Drosophila melanogaster: one gene and its partners. The protein of the gene in region 3 interacts with the protein of the main gene of each other region in a pairwise test. Each region holds a gene or a part of one and is shown on either strand. Other genes may lie near its edges.

Region 1 (7,662 bases), on a different chromosome or scaffold from region 3:
TACAAGCTCTCGACTGCGAGCTCGATCATACTGAATATGTTTGGCACATTTGGTTAATACTATTCTTCTGCACAGCGTGAAACAGCGGCGTGCTGCGGATGACGCCCGACAGCTCCTTGGAGTTCTTGCTTTGGTGATAGTTTCTACTCGGCATCGGCGACAACGGTTCGCCCCAGAACTTGAGCAGCGCAAAGATCTTGTAGTAGGCCACTCTGAAATAGAAGATAGATTCGCTATTAGCAGCTAAACCCGATAGCAGCCAAAACTGCCAGCAAACTTACCTGTAGTTGCGATTGCTGGCCGCATAGATGATCGGGTTAATGACACTGGAAGCCCAGGCCATCACGGAGGCGATGATGTGCAGCCAGGGGTACGAGGTATTGCGCTCGTCGTCCACCACATTGGCCAGCATTAGCGGCAGGAAGCAGACGAGGAAGCACAGAAAGATGGTGACCATCATGACGGTCAGTCGATTGTCTTCGCGCGCCTTGCGCGTGCATGTGGTGGTCATGTAGGATCCGCCGCCGGACGACGAGGAGCCCTTGGCCGCTGCGATCTGGAAGTTATCGTGGTTGCGAATCTTCTTTTTCTGGTGCAGCACCGTAATGTAGATGCACGAGTACGAAACGATGATCACCAGGCAAGGCAGCAGGAAGCCGATCACGAACAGCGTCTTCTTGATCGATCGCCCCTCCTTCTTGAGTATTGTGCAGGAGAAGGTGGCCTCGTCCAGGCCCATCTCGCCCCAGATGCCCAATATGGGCGGCAGCTGGGAAGATAAAAACCGATTAGTTGAATGTGTGCACACAAATCGAAGACGCCTTACTTACCAACAGCAGAAAGGAGACGGCCCAAACGAACAACAGCTGCAGGGTTATGAACTTAGGCTTATATATCTGCGAGTAGCGGCTGTGGCAAGCGATGAGTATATATCTGCCAGGGGATTAGGGTGACGGTTGCGGATTAGCTTGCGACAATGCGGACTAGACTTGGGCCTACCTGTTCAGGGTGATGCCCACCATGCTGAGGAGTGAAACAGCCACATTGCCATAGAAGATCACCGGAAAGATCTTGCACAATGTGGTACCAAAAGTCCAGCTCTGTCGTTGGAATCGAGCAAATTATAATCATTCACTAATTGTATATTACATTCACAGGTATAATGACTCACCTCCTGGAAGAATCGCACTGCGGTCAGTGGCAGGCTGAAGGAGCAGAAGAGCAGGTCGGAGATGCTTAGCGAAATGACGAAGGCGGTTGTGGCATGCTCCCGTATCGTGGGGCTCTTGAGCAGCGCCAGCAGGGTAATCAGGTTGCCTGTGCGGCAATTCAGCATAGAGAAACAGGTTAGCTAATCGAGGAGCTGAATGTGGGATGCCAATTACTCACCAAGAACGCCGATCGTCACAAAGACACAGGCACTAATGGCCGCGAATAATGTCGCCGAATGCGGGTAGATCGATTGCGTGGCGGCCGCCGGTTCATCCATCTGCATGTCTGCGTCCTGAAAGTAGCCCGTTGCCATGCCCATGTCCTGATCCATTCTGCGGGGGAAACAAGCAAACGATGTGATTAGCCAATTTCAATTACTTATTTTTGAACAGGAAAAGGAGCTGTATCTTTTAAATTGGTTGCATTCAAATCGCTTATGCTAATCCTATTGTTTTTTTTTTTTTAATTTGTTAGCCCGTATCATGAGTAATTAAAAAGGAAGTTAATAGCCGGATGTAGACAACTCAATATGCATCCGCTTGGTTATTTGAAAACAATTAACTTATGAAGAGAAATGAATGAAATTACCATTCCTAATTGCCCAGAAGCATGATGCTTTTGTTAAGAAGGGATTGTTAAGAATTTAACTATCTAAACGAACTAATGTGTACATTTCTGTGCTCCGCGATAAAGGAAATGTAATCAGCAAAATCAAGTTTCAGGCGCGTGGAAAATCTGTGAATGAATGAACGTACGAGTAATACAAAAAGATAACTAATCACCGCTTTGCGGATGCAATAGCCCAGTTTTGTCGTCGGTGACACCGAGTAAAAACCCGATCCGATCGACGGGATTAGCGAGGAAGTCTGCGTACTCCCACCAGCTTATCGCATCCGAGACATTTGATTTATGTAAACGGATTTTGTTATAAGATTTCTGCCGAGCCAAGCTGGCCAACTGGCGAATCGTAATGATCGAGCCGGTTTGCACGCCATTTGAATTCACATTTGTACGAATTTTTTTTTTATCAAAAGTTCGAGTTTTTCACCAATTTCCTCATCAACCGAGCAAGGCAAACGGCTTTGAATAATATGGTGTTATATATACATATATCAAATCGCTGCTGACTGCGTGATTGATGGCCCCAAGATTACATATTATCGAATCAGGATTCAGAAGGAGATCAATGTCAAATGCGGACAGGAACATGAGAGACGCCTGTTATGCGCAATTAAAAATTTGGGTTTAATTGCTGTGGAAACTGTTGTTGGTGGCATCTTAAGTTCCTGTTTAACAACATCAACTACTTATGTACGTAGAAGCGTTTAAGCCATTTGCATACAGATGAGAACTGGCTTTTGTGCTAATCAGCCAAGATGACTCCGATGATGATGACTCATTACCTGACCAGTTTTCGCTGCTTTCTTTTCAACAACTACTTGTATATGTATTGTATCCAATAGCAATACATTGGATTTCCATGGTCTAGTCACGTATTATCATTTAATTGACGCCAAGTCGTGTTATTGTTGAGCTATCGAGTTCAGCTCAAACATTTCTTATTCCCATGAATAAGCCGGCAAAAATATGCAATCTATGAAAGTTAATATAAGCAAACCTTACTTTGACTCAATACCAATGCACTTTGTGTCGATAGGTTCACGCAATTGAGGCGATTATTCCGATAACCCAAGCGATTGACTGTTCCCGTTTCGATTCCAATTGAAATTTGGAAATGTACAATAGTTTTGCTATATGCTGTCAAGTACGCTCTTATCTTCTCTGGGTTTTCTTCAGAGTTTCGAAACGCTTCTTCTTTTTTTTGTTTTTTTTTTTTTGGAATCTCGTATTTTGGAAGGGGCTCCCCTCTGGAATTTGTTACACTGTCGTTATCATTGCGAACAAGCGGCCCGAAGCTATCAGCGACTTTAACATTTACAATGCACTTTTTTACGACCAATTAAATGTACATTTTCCTTTCTTCGCCCGTTGATAAGCGAACGCGATGTGGCGCAGGCAATGTGTTGCTCTTGCGACACAAACGCAATCAAAATGGATTCAATTTCGCTTTTTCCCAGTGAAACGAAGAACGAACCGACCATCATGATATGCTGCTCTGCATGTTGCGTATTGAATCAATGACAATTTCAATTAAGCCGCCCGTTCGTCATGCGTTTTCGTGGGCTTCGAAATGCTGATAACGCTGCTGTCCTCCAACTGCTTTGCATGTGGACACAATTCCATTTATTTAATTCTTTTATTTGGATCGGTTAAATTAAAAAGCGCCTTGTTACGCATTTAACGTTGTTTCCGGTGCGTGGTGGTTTCATGCTTCTGGGAACGGCAAATGGGTTTAGGATTGGGAACCCCTCATCATCCGTCCAAATATGGGGAGTTCAAGGAATGGAGGGGGGAGGGGGGGAGGGGGCGGAGCAGCGGTCCGCTTTCATGCATGATCAACATGTGTGTTTGTTTTCCAACTCTATGTGAGTTGTTTCAGTTCTTTTCGGTCTCCTCGGTTCTACTCAGTTCGTTCTTACTTTCTGGCTTTTGTTTCCGAATAGGGGGAGCGCATCGGGCCGCAACTGGAAATGGAAATCTGAATATGCATCCCGGAGCATCCCGTCCGAAATGAGCACCATGCGCCATGCCGTTTCGTTTAATTCCCTACCCATAAATGCGTGTCCAAACAGCAGAGGGCATTTCAAGAGGTCCAACTATTAGCTATGTGCATATATAATTCTCTAGATATATTAATTCAGCTAAAGTGCTAACCGCGAGTGTGCCGCCAGTTGCCCCTCAACAGTTTGCAACGATGATGATGGCACAGATATCAGAGATAACACTCAGATCGCGCCCCTCACAAGTATGCTCATTATGTACATTCATATGTACATATGTACACACAGCTAAGCACATAAGGAATACGATATGCGCTATGTACATATATACATATTTACATCAAAGTCTTATCAGCCTCGGGTTCCCACCGTCCAAAAAAAAAGGCGGAACGAAGCTTTATAAATAATCAATCAACAAATATTTACAATCAAGTATTTATGTAGCGGGCGGAAAGTCGAATGCAAATAAGGTTAGACGCATTTGTACATATGTATTTTCTTAAAGGGTTCCTCTGATCAATATCTGCCCGTTTTTATCTAGCCCCGTTTATAAGGCTGTGAATGCCCCGATTGTGTTGGTCGTGATATCAATTAAATCGGCATAATCTCATGTCATCTTTTTAAACATTATGATAGATAAAATGTATTATAACGACTCTAATTACATTGGGATTAAATGGGTTTTCGGAAAATACCTATGCAGTAAATCAAATTTAAGATCAATGTGCAGTTATTTGGGGTTTCTTGAGTTAGGACCTCTGTTTTAATATTGAGAATTACTCGATATTATCTTCCGTTTTATTTTATTTTCTGATCGTGTCGGTGCACGAGAAATACATATTTCCCACTTTTGTTGCATTTCGCTGACTAATCGAAAGCTAAATACCAAATAAGTTTCCGATATGGGGGGTATGTATGTACATACATACATATATAGTACGAGTATATATAATATACACTGAATAAGCCCGAGCATACATATGTACATATGTAGATAGTGCACATGTGTATTGTGGATCGTTTTGGAGCTGGGTTTTTCTTTGCTTTTCGTCGTTTTTAAGAGACTTGAGCTGAATGAGTCGCTACCAACTGTTGCGGTGGGTTAAAGGGTGGGGGGAGGGGGCGAATGGGGATGGGGGATGAAGATGATGATTCATGCAGCTGATGTTTGGACAGGGAAGAAAGAAAGAGCGAAAGAGAAAGCAAATCGGAAGCGGCGGTATCAAACAATCTGTTTAAATAACAACAAAAGACTTTATAAGCCTGACTTTCATTTCCATTTCCAATTTATTTTTCCCAAGTCTGGCTCATTTTGTGCAAATAAACAAATGACTCATTTGTTTAAAAATTCGATGAGACTCAAGGAATGTCACATTCACAAAAATTTTCAATTTGAAATCTGAAAAGATTCAACAGCATAAGCAAATGAATTTAAGATTGCGATATTTGGGTATTATCCTTAATTGGCTGGCTGCCTAATGTAGATTTGTTTTTCTCGGTGTACCGATGCATCCTCTTTGCCCATCCACTTCTTTCTCCCCTCTTTGCTGATTTTTTTTTTTTTTGTTTTGTGAGAGGGTGGAATTCGGGATTTGGGATGTGAGCGAGAAGGATGGCCATATTTTGAATTGTGGAAACAGCCGTTCCATTATCGTTCCATTACAAATGCACACACACACACACACACACGCGCGCGTGCAGTTTGCGCTTCTCTGTGTGTGCGTTTGGACCAAATGCAATAACAATAAAAACGCGCAACTCAAATTGTTAACAAAGGTAAGGCCGTTTTTTTGGCCGGATTTGGATTCTGGTCTTGAAAGAGAAACACACACACACACACACGCACGCAAAAAACCAACGAAAATAATAACAAAACAACAACTCACCCGAACTCGAACCCGTTTCACTGTTTTCCGCTTATTATAAATTTATACTTCGTTTGGCGTTTCTTAAATGCTTTCGAATTGCATTTTGGATTTGACATTAAATCGCTCCGCGCAGCACAGTAACAAAAATAAACGGAACAAAATAAATACAACCAGCCGATTCTGGCCTTCTCACAATTCCGACTTTTGAATTATCGAAACAGAAGCGCTGCTTGGGCCAACTAAGCCAACTTAACTAACCGATCGCAGAGCGCAAAGTGTCGTATTTTCACTGTCGTCAATTAACAACAGCGGCAACAAGAACAACAAACGAAATGAGCGGCTGGGCTACAGTTTTTTAGTCCGAGCGCGATCGAACATGTTGGCTGCCTGGCAACAAGTTCGATGCGAACTTTTCTATTGATCTAAGAAATCGGCGTTCTATCGATTGACGCGCTGCGCAGGCGCCTATCGATTTTTGAAATTCTAAGCCCGCCTTAAAGGATATTTGTAGAAAAGTAGCTTGCAAAGAAATTAAATTCCTTGAAATAAAAAAGAAATTTAGTACTCTCGTTCTATACTCACTTCTATTCACTTGCGGTTAGTTAGTTAGTTTTTAATGCCACATTTTTATGATGATGACTTTTTTTCAGCTCATCTATGCGCAATCAATTTTGCGCCAAGCGACAGCTGCACATAGTTTCTTTTGACCAAGCAATCATTTATCATATAATTTTCCAAGTAGTAGTGCCAAGTTCATAACTGATGGAGTGTGCTGCCAATTTGCATGTTGTGGAGCCATTCAGTTTCAAGGTCGCGCTAATTAAATACTCGTTACAAGTGATGCCAAATGTATAAATATTTGAACAGAACGTATTAAATTAATATTATCCACTAAGAGCACTATTTTAAATTCTTAAAAACCAGATGCACGTCAAATAGATGTACATAAAAAGTATATTTACTTACAAATATCATACACGGACCTGTTTTATTCCTCATCACTGGCCATTAGTTGATAACATGTGGACTTCTATGATATCCTGCTGCATTTTTGCCGTTTAGTCAGGATTTAGAGCTTGTACACAATGCGACAGCTGAAAGGGCGAAATCGGTGCAATCGTGCTGTTCGGCATCTGAAAGTTCAGGGCAAGATGTGGTTGAAAAATCTTAAAAGCGGTTTGGAACAAATTCGAGGTGAATCTATCCAAATCGTTAGAATCCCATGAGTACGTTCATCTTAATTACCTTTTACAATCCAGAAAGCCAGGTGCGGGGAACGCGAAAGAACTTCCTACACGATGGCTCCTTCCATGAGGCAGTTGCTCCAGTTCTGGCGGTGGCCCAGTGCTTTTGCCTAATGCCCGTGTGTGGAATCAGTGCTCCAACGTACAGGGGATTAAGCTTCAATCGGCGCAGCTGGCGATTCTGGTACAGCTCCTTGTACCTCTGCTCCACGTCGGTGGATCTGGCCTTCAGCATTCGCCGTGTGGCCCACAGTGTGCTGGATGTGCGCAGTGTGGGTGAGATTAAATGATGCTTTTCTTCGCAACATACCAATTGCATATGTTAATTACCATTTAGAGCCCATCGTTTTTCACGTTAGCATCCTGATCGCCTCCTGGCAGTTCCTGAACCTGGCCCAACTCTGGCCTGGATTGATGCGCCACTGGGCGGCGGTGGAGCGACGGCTACCGGGCTACACCTGTTGCCTGCAACGTGCTCGTCCTGCCCGTCGCCTCAAGTTGGTGGCCTTCGTGCTGCTGGTAGTTTCACTGAGTTGGGTCACCAAATTTGTTTGGGTTTGGATTTCGCTGAGTATAACCGGGCGTGCTTTTTTTTCCAGTGGAACACCTGCTGAGCATCATTTCGGTGGTTTACTACGACTTCTGCCCACGAAGAAGCGATCCCGTGGAATCCTATTTGCTTGGCGCCAGTGCCCAGTTATTCGAAGTGTTCCCCTA
Region 2 (4,575 bases), on a different chromosome or scaffold from region 3:
CCATTATATATCCATAATATGCCAATATTTTCAAACTGGCTTACTTGCTATAATTGGCTAGTAAACACTGTATAATCCACTAACAAAATAAAACACCAGTTGAGGTGAGCTCAGTGAAAATTTATAAATATTGCGTTTATCTTATCACGTTTTATTCTAGATGTCTGTATGTAAACATGTGTTTGCTAGTCATTGCTAGCTGAATGAAGTGAGAAAAACTATTGCTCACCAAATTGTGAATCGATTAATAAATGCATATAAAAATATTACACTCCATATGAACCGGCTGGGAATATATTCCAATTGAATTTAATGGATATTAACAAATCTTACTGAGTCATAAATGTCTTAGAACATAAGTGATTAATAATATAATAATAAGTATGATGATAACATCTTGGGATCAATGTAATCTTTTACTTTAAGACGTTACTGTGTTCTTTTAATTTTAATCAAAAATATGACCATTGAGAAGTTATTGAGATAGACATCAAATACAATTGAAAAGCTTATAATTGACCTCGTTTTCTTGCGGTGTAGCATAGTAAACATAGATTCCAATAGGTCGTTCGGCCAAGTTAGGAGGGCCGTAGCCCGATATCGGCGACACAAATGTTCATCGGCCACTAACGACATGTCAACCAGGAGAACCGTTAGCTGCGGTCACGTTGCCCACCGAAGTAACCAAGTTACCAAGTTAAGGCCAATGCCAAGTAGCCAAATGGCCAAGACCAAAGAGCCAAAGACCCAAGGCCCAGACCGATCTGCAATTGGGATTGTGCTGGGTGGTTTTGGGTGCGGCCACACTACACAAGCTGAGAAGTAGGAACAAAATAGAAAACATGGGGCAAAAAAAAAAAAAAAAATAATAATAAAATAAAAACACAGTCTACGCCTACCAAATACGGCAGTCGCAACCAACAACCAACTCAGTCCAAACTCCCCAGTCGAAAAGCCAAGAAAAAGTTGATGAAAAAAATCCAAGGCGAAAGCGAAGCCAAAACAAAGTGAAGTGGGCAAAAAGGAAAGGAAGCCGCCGCCGTCGACTTTCCTCCAAAACCGAAACCAAAACCATCGGAAAATACATACAGTATGTACATATATACATACATATATATTTGTACATATACATACGTAGTTACGGTGGCCAGTCAATTTTCTTGTCGGCGGAAAAGCAGCGAAGTGGGCCCCACGTAATGGGGCAGCCTATCGAGATCCCATATTCCAGATCCCAGTTACCAGATACCGAATGCCAAATACCAGATAAGATCGATCCAGCCAAATGCAATTGGCCCGTGGAAAAAAGGGAACCCAAATGCACTGTAAGCCAAGATGTGGAGTTGTGCCTAAATGTTAATATTATAATATTCCTAACATTCTTTAAACTAATGTCATTCGGTTAACTGGGCCTGTAGCTAATCAACCGCTTATCTTTAAAGGTCGTTCTCGTTATCAATTTGGTATGATAACTTGAGCCATGTTATGATGTAGGCTTCGTTTAGCTATGCATCATAGATATGAGTTACTAAGAAATTAATTAATAATTCCAAATAAAAGCTTAACCGAGCGAAAATGGTGGTGATCTGTTTTATCTTTCGTTGATTGATGATTTCGAAAATCTCACAAACATTACATCATTTCATTACGTTCATATTTCCAGGAATTTTACTGTGTTCAGTATTGTCTTTTTTCAGTCAAATTATGAGAATACCAGAGTTTTCTGGGAATGCGTTTTACGCATTAGAAGTAAGTAGTGCCAATACCAATACAATACAATACAACGGTGAACCCCTTTGTAAACTGCTTCATCAACCCCTTGATGTTTTCGTCTGCTTCTTTTCTGATTTTTTTTTTTTTTTTTTTTTTTACAAATTTGTGTGCAGCATGGAAAGAGGCTTTTACTTACGTTTGGGGTAAATGGGTGGTCGGCATTTAACCGCCTCAATGCCACTGCTGCTGCTGCCGTTCATCGTGCTTATGACGCTGGCCACGCCCCCCGCCGCTGTAGCGCCCATCGTGGGCGGTTGGCTGAGCGGGAGTGGCGGGGGCGGCGGCTGATGCTTCATGGTCGCCGAGGGGGGCACATTGCCGCCGCCGAAGAGGCGACGCTGCGGTAGAAACGCCGTTTTGCCGCTTGTGTTGCAAGTTGCAGGTTGCACAATCCGGTGTTGTTTTATGTTTTTGTTGTTACTGCTGCACGTTGCCAGCTGCTAGTGCTGCCACATTAAATTGACACTAAAAGTTAATATAAAATGGGCAACTAATTTATAACATAGGTAAGTACTGAAAATATATATATTTAGTTTTATTAGCGCATATTAATCGGTTATAGTTGCGATTTTTGGGGGGATTAACTCCCACACTTTAATTACTGTTTCATATTTTTGTTTAATTGTGTTCTATATATTTTTAAACCTCACATTTCATTTGCGTGCAAGTTTGTTGTTCACTAAGGGTTAAGCTTAACAGTAACTTACGTACACATGCTTATCTAGTGCTTATCTCACTCGATGAGGTGCGAGCGGGAGGGAGGGTGGTTGGGAGGCAGGCAGGGTGGGCAGTGCGAAAGAGAGCTACTAACTGCAATATTGACTTTTTAGGGTTTCTGCACACACATATGCATAATATCAAATGCATTTGCGATTGAAAACTGCATAGTCAATGGGTGGAAAACTAACGGTGCAGCTGCTTCACCTTGACCTACACGACCACAAGTAACAGTGAGATGCACAATACACTCACACACACACACACAGCGCCAAATCACCGCTCTTACACACACGAAAAATAATAATAAAAAAAAGGCTCACGCACTTTGTTATTAACTATTTCCGTTGTTTTGGTTTCCTCTTTTTTTTTTGTGGCAAAACGGTATGAAATTTCACCGAAAAAAAAATTGTCGCGGGAAATATTCCAAACTTCTAAGGGAATATTATTTACAATAACAAATATGGTTTTCTGAGCGGAGTTTTGAAACATACACTTTCCGCGCGCTTTTACTGATGCTTCTTCACCGCCGTCGCGTCGAGATCTGATTGCAATTTAGCTCTGCTCTGCTTTTCCATTTCCAAAAACATTCGAACCGAAAATACCAGCAAAAATACCGAACAAATAATACTGCTGGATGAAAGGGTCTTACTTTGCGCCATTTCACTTCAACAACTTTATTCAAACTTGAGCCTCTAAAAGTACATTTGAACAAGAATAAAATTTGTTAAAAATAAGAATGGTATTTAATATGAGTCCATAATAATAATGATATGAGTGCCATTATCTCAAAAACTAGGTAAACATTTTTTATGGCAACTACATTTTTCCTGAAATGTCCTTAAAGAAATGTCCTACGAGTGGAGATATACCCCAAAGAGTGGGGAGTCGATTTTTCTCTAAACTTAGGTCGAACATAGATAGTTAGATCTTTTTTTTTTTAACATTTTTTGCATTTATATTGTTTAGAATTCACCTATAAATAACAAAAGAATATATAAATAAAAAACTGCCCCATGTTCGATATTCCACCGTTCCGGTCAGATATCGTAATTGTATTAATGTTGTTTTTTAAAGAAATTGTATTGTAGACCGAATAGAAACTAGGAAAATGAGAGAGTTTGTTTCTAAACAATATTGTAAAAGTAGTTTACAATATACCTAAAAAATACTGAATACGCAAACTTAGTCTCTCCAATTGTGCACACTGACACAAGCTGGCAGCTGTAAAATTGCAGCGGGTGCTCAAAATGTGCAGGCTGGCAAAAGCAGAATGTCTTGAAAACCAAAAGGTTAAAAGGCTTTTCAAGAAAATTGCTTTTAAAAATTCAAAAACTAAGGAAAAAATTACAAAAAAAATAATTTTAATCAGTGATATAAATGATTAATTGTTTCAAGAAAAACTTTCGTGACTAAAACCCTTTTTCAGCCCGATTGGAGGTCGCAGCATTGGCGGCTGGATTTCTGATTTCTGGCCTCCGTAGCACACGAACAACGCGCCACAAACTCAGTCGAACTTAAACGGCGCTGGCAATCGGACGCGTTTTCGAAAACTCGCTCTCTCTGCGATTTCATTCTGGTTTTTTGGGAAAGTGTAAGCTCGATGAGATGAAAAGAAGAATCCATTGAAACGCGTAAATCTTCCTTTGTCAATTTGTCAAGCTCGCGGCATATTTGTTTCAACAAGTTTTCAGTGCTAATTTGTTTAATCGCGTAGGCTCAAAGAGAAACTACCCAAAAAAAGAGGGAGAACTTTGTTTTGCTTTCTGTTTGTTTGCATTTTTTTTATGTGCTCGAAATTGAAGCCCGGCAATGGCAGCCGCCTGGAACAATGAAAGTTGATTGAATATTTTATGCAAATTTCCCATTGCAGAAAAAAAGGTGCGAAGAACAACGAGAACAACAACAACAACAACAACATCAACGGCAGCTGCAAGAATAATAATAGAAATTGCTGTCGAGCAGAAAACTGGAAATCCAAAGGCAGCAGCAAGAAATCAGGTGAATACCGAATACCTGTCTGTTTCTCGTGGGAAAGTTTAAGATCAAGGCCAGGGGGCCTTACCAGAATGGGCTGGATTGGGCGGA
Region 3 (4,937 bases):
ATACGCATATACGCAAATTATACTAATCGTAGTACTTAAAAATTGCTTATTTTACCGTTTCTAACCCCATGTGATATTTTTCAAGATAATCATACTAGTGAGTACCATTTTAGCTTGTTTTATAACAAATATGCATATCTATTACTTAAATACGCATTTGCAGTGACAGAAAATAAAACTATTGCCTTGTCATTCCAGCGCGGAATTCGAGTTGTCACAAGTGCATAAAGGGCACCACTACAGCATTTTCTATTGCTGCGGCGAACGTGCGGATTAGAAGTTTTGGTTCTTCATCCAGCTTGATCCGCACGTCACAATCGAACCCAAGGAATTCAGATATTTTTAGCCTTTTGCGTGGGACTTCAATGGCACCTCTGCCCGTTGCTTTTGTGTGCCATGCCACCCAGTTGTGTGTGCAACATGCGCCCATCACATGTGAAGCCACCACATTGGATGGATTTCATTGCTGGCTTATTTCGAGGGAGAATCGTGGAGCCCACGGAGTGATCGGGCATGGATCGGAGGCACTTCGCCGGCGGTTGCCCCACTGCTGAGTCACGCCGGCGCAGCACTAAACTGGGCCCAAACCCAAACCGAAACCCAAATGCCAAGCGAAGAGCCAAATGAGTCAAAGAGTCAAAAGAGAGTGGGAACTGGTTTTTGAAGAGTTCCCCCACATTCGGCATTCGGCTATCGGCATTCCATTTTAGGCCGGTCCAAAGTCCGCAAGTCTGAGTACCTGCAACCGGTCACCAAGCCACCATGAATGGCCGATGAATGCCGCCCGAATCCTCACGTGCACCAGCATCACGCTGGAAAACGAGATATCTCGCGCCGGCGTGGAGGTCTCCAAGGTGCAATTTTGTATGCAGTGCGGCTATGCTGGGGGATTTCCCATTTGGCTGCGATTGGCTGCAGGGAAAACCCAGTTTCCAAAAGAGTTCTCTGCGAAAAACCCCCAATGCAGTGCAGTTTATTTTTTCGATGCGTGGTTTTTCCCACTCCAAACCAGATACCATAATGTATTCTCTTATTTATCGTGGGGCTTTTGGCAAGGGAGTTTCGGTTATCTGAGCGAGCAACGTTCTTTCCAAATAATTAGGTCTTGTCTCGCATTAAATAATATTGCGAAACATTTGGCAGCGCCTTTCGAATAATGGCGAAATGATTCAGCTGCTCGCTGGTGGGCAGATGTACATCACTTGCAGGGCTGAATTCTTTGCACGATGGTAAACTTGTTTTGAGAACCTGGTGAAATTAAAAAAAAAGGAGGGCAAACAAAGCTGAAACTGAAAGAAAGCCATAACATTTCCGCAAAATGTGTGTATTTCGTTATATATTCCAATTGTAAGGTTCTCTACTTTTTAAAGAGTTGTTACTAGAGCTCAGGTAATTTCAATGTATATGTTTACAGATACTTCGATTTTTATTTATTTACAAAGAAAATTTTTAAAATTTCTATCTGACATAACCGGTTCGATTTGTTCGCGCCGGATGACAGCTCTGTCAAGTTCTCTCTGGCTCTTTCGATTCCTAAGCTTTTACCCGATTAGTGCTTTTTTCGCCGGCAGAGCTTTTCTTGCACTCAATTATGCTTCTTCTTCCCTGTAAACAAAACACGCTCACAGCTGTTTCTTCCGCACTGAAGTGTTGGCAAACGTCTGAATATTACACGCAATATTTATGTAATACGCTAAACAATTAAGTCGCATAAATTATAAAATAGTCATTAGGGATAACTCGATGGCATTTGTGGAGCGCGACTTTGAGTCACCATAGTGCCGCCGCCAAGTACGATAGCCACAATCTGAGCGCCAGCGCAGTGCCAAAAGCTCTGTGTTGTTGAAAAACTCGACAAAGTCAAAAAAGTCGAAAAAGTCAAGCTGCTCTTTGTAGGCCGCTCGATACAAAGGTAAAAAGAAGTTGGCCCAAACAAATTGCCCGAAATGGGAAAAAACAAATCGAGCACGCTGGCGAGAGCGAGATAAAAACACCGGGACAAACCGGCCCGAGCGTTCAGTTCTGTGCCGGACGACAAAAGCGGCGGATCACTGTTGGATTTCATTTCATCCGGAGCACTTGCGAATAGAACGCGAAAGTCCCGAGCAAGCGTTAGTTTTTGCATACAATGGAGTACCTGAGCTACGTGTACGAAAAAATCTTCGGGGGCAATCCTCCCACGGATGACACGCAAGGGGCTTTCCACACGTGAGTATCAGCAGTAGCAGCTGAGGCGGAAAAACCCGGCAGAAAACACCTCTGACCATTGGGCTTTCCCACTTTCAGGCCCCGCAAGGTCATCTGCTTCGGCAACGTCCTGCTCGACCGACTAGTCCAGCTCGAGGATCCCCAACTCCTGGAGCGGTTCGGCCTGGAACTGGGCTCCAAGGGTGAACTGGACATGGAGAAACTCAACCAGCTGGCAGCGGAGGCTTCTGAGAGGTGAGTACCTTTGTATCTTGCCCGATTGTTTCATTATCTTCAATGACTGATTGTAAGAAATTGTACAATTGGACCCAAGTTATGGTTTTTAGTTAGACTGATTTTACATATAAGTAGTATAGTTAAGGTCTTGCAAGTATAATTAGTATCACCTTTCAAAGAAATTGTGAAAAGATACAAAGAATGAACAACAAATAGGACTGGGGCTACAAAGGCTGTTTATACATAGCACTTTTGTACACAACAATCAATCTTTACTTAAGAAGTTAAGAAGGGCCTTCTTTCTAATCTCTAATGACAGCAAAACTGGTTTTTATACCTGTACGAAATCGTCTTACGAAGTAGGAAATGGAAAATGGCAAAGTTACACGGTTATTCTAAAATTACAAGGGTTTAGTTAGTAACTACATACATACATAATAAACAACCTTTGCAAAGCTATACTTACTAATCCGAGTTCAATCCAATTCAGCTCTCGGTGCCTTACAAACCCGGGTGGCTCTGCCCTCAACACTGCCCGCATCCTGAAGCAGCTGGGCACAGACGCGCTCTTCTTTGGCGCCGTGGGAGCCGACAAGCACGCCGAGGAGCTGCGCCAGATCATTCGGGATCGCGGCATCGAGGCCAGGCTGCAGACCGTCGAGGATGCGCACACAGGGCAGTGCGTGTGCCTCATGTATCAGGACAACCCCACGCTGTACGCCAACATCGGCGCCTCGGCTCAGTTCGAGGTGCAGACCCTGAGCCACGCCGTCAGCCACGAAGGCCAGAGCTTCCTGCGACCGGTGGAGCGCAAGCAAATCCTGTACGTGGAGGGCTTCTTTGTGCCCCAGAGGAGTGATGTGTGCGATTACATAGTGCAGCACCTGGTGCGGGAGCGGCGACGCCTGGCTCTCAATCTCAGTGCACCCTACATTGTGAGGAAAAATCACCAGGCTATGATGAAGCTGGCCCGGGCCGCCTTCTTCCTGTTCGGAAACCGACAGGAGTTCGAGGCGCTGGCCGAGGCTGCGGGTGGGTTCCGAAACGTCGACGAACTGGCGGATCATCTCCTGCAATCCGGTGGCACCAAGGTCATCTTCGTCACCAACGGCAGTGCCGGCGTCCAGGTGATCACCAACTACGTGGAGGAGCTGGCTCCTCCCGGACCCGTAAGCTTTGAGGACTTCAGGGCGCAGCGCGTAGAGCAGCTGGTGGATGCCACTGGGGCCGGAGATGCTTTTGTGGCCGGATTCTTGCACGCCTGGCTGGAGAAGCGCTCGCTGGGCGAGTGCATCCGAATGGCCTCCAGCGTAGCCGCCAAGGTCGTCACCCAGGTGGGCTGCAATCTGCCCTAGACCGACGCCGTGCATCGCCACCTCAGATAGCGCACAACAAAGCACCAAAGTAGACTCTTAGCTTGTAATTATTCCGGTAATCTCCCCAAACCTTAGGCTTAGTCAAACATTTGTCCACCATTTCACCCAAGCAATGAACTTAGTCATAATGTGACTAAATAAAAATGATTTATACATCGTCCTATGAAAGATAATAATATTTCTGAGTGACTATATGTGACTACATTTTATAATATATATAGCGAGATTCCTATTGTATGCAATTTTTTAACATTTAAATATCTTTTGATAGTTCTATGTAAACAGATGTTGCTTTCTCAAAAGACAAAACAGATTTATCTAAAACCAGTACATATGTATCTATTTGTAGCACATTGCCATTAAGAATTTGCGTTGACCTTCAGAAGAGCGCAAAGATAAAAAGTGAAATAGGGTAAAATGTGCCCACGTCTAATCAAGCCATGCCATGAAATCACCGGAAGACTCTTTTTAATGGTTAAATATAGATTCGAGAGCATTGTTTTGCGCACAGTGGGTTGAATGCTTACAAATTATTAATTTCGCTGTAATACTTTCTTAGATATACCATTATTCATACTTCATTATTTGAGCAAACATAAGTAAATCATTTTTGACACAGGCCGTCGTTATTTAGGTATACCTTTATATGTAAAATCACGTATTAATTATTCATTAAGAAATGAGAGCATATATATAAAAAAGTAAGTACAGCTGGTGATTGTTCGACCTCGATAGCCTTATTAATACGACTGTGTTATTCACTCGATCGCCGAAGTTCCCACTGGACTGTGGCATTGTGTGAATCGTCATCCGAATCCGTTATCACACACTTAATTCCCCCTGAGATGCCCTAGTACACATCTTTATGCGCATTCCTCGAGATGCTTTATTATCCGCAAAGAAGCGATTCTCGTTTCATCCATCTTATATGGACCGCGTACATCCCACACAAGTCAGTCAATAAGTGACGACTTGGCCCAAAGAGAACTCGCATGCACAGATGCCATCAAAGCGAATTCCGCCTTTGTGCTGGCCGTGGGGTTTGGCTTGGGGTTTGGGCCACATGTTTGCGAATCGTTAACAAAAACTAAGCCGCATTTGGCATGCTTGTGTAAGCAGGCCAAGGCCTGGGCCTCT

Evidence for each region.
Region 1: the proteins of Adk3 (region 3) and Tre1 interact in a two-hybrid assay, tested with the Drosophila melanogaster proteins (one large-scale study listed by BioGRID).
Region 2: the proteins of Adk3 (region 3) and Septin4 interact in a two-hybrid assay, tested with the Drosophila melanogaster proteins (one large-scale study listed by BioGRID).

The regions. Positions count from the first base shown.
Region 1 is NC_004354.4:5,673,941-5,681,602, forward strand, and holds the start of Tre1 (trapped in endoderm 1), read right to left. Parts: upstream 6,038-7,662; 5' UTR 5,720-6,037; intron 3,019-5,719; exon of another isoform or gene 2,836-3,018; intron 1,545-2,835; 5' UTR 1,544-1,544; coding exon 1,390-1,543; intron 1,318-1,389; coding exon 1,172-1,317; intron 1,101-1,171; coding exon 1,000-1,100; intron 934-999; coding exon 831-933; intron 770-830; coding exon 282-769; intron 234-281; coding exon 26-233; 3' UTR 1-25. Other genes in the region: Gr5a (gustatory receptor 5a), read left to right, coding at 6,787-6,895, 6,961-7,221, 7,283-7,477, 7,545-7,662. UniProt on the Drosophila melanogaster protein: Essential for the first active step of germ cell migration: transepithelial migration of germ cells through the posterior midgut (PMG) epithelium.
Region 2 is NC_004354.4:16,692,137-16,696,711, forward strand, and holds the start of Septin4 (septin 4), read right to left. Parts: upstream 3,038-4,575; 5' UTR 2,982-3,037; exon of another isoform or gene 2,478-2,981; intron 2,284-2,477; exon of another isoform or gene 2,236-2,283; 5' UTR 2,067-2,235; coding exon 1,907-2,066; intron 1-1,906.
Region 3 is NT_033778.4:7,242,493-7,247,429, reverse strand, and holds Adk3 (adenosine kinase 3), read left to right. Parts: upstream 1-1,653; 5' UTR 1,654-2,128; coding exon 2,129-2,208; intron 2,209-2,286; coding exon 2,287-2,442; intron 2,443-2,914; coding exon 2,915-3,779; 3' UTR 3,780-4,406; downstream 4,407-4,937.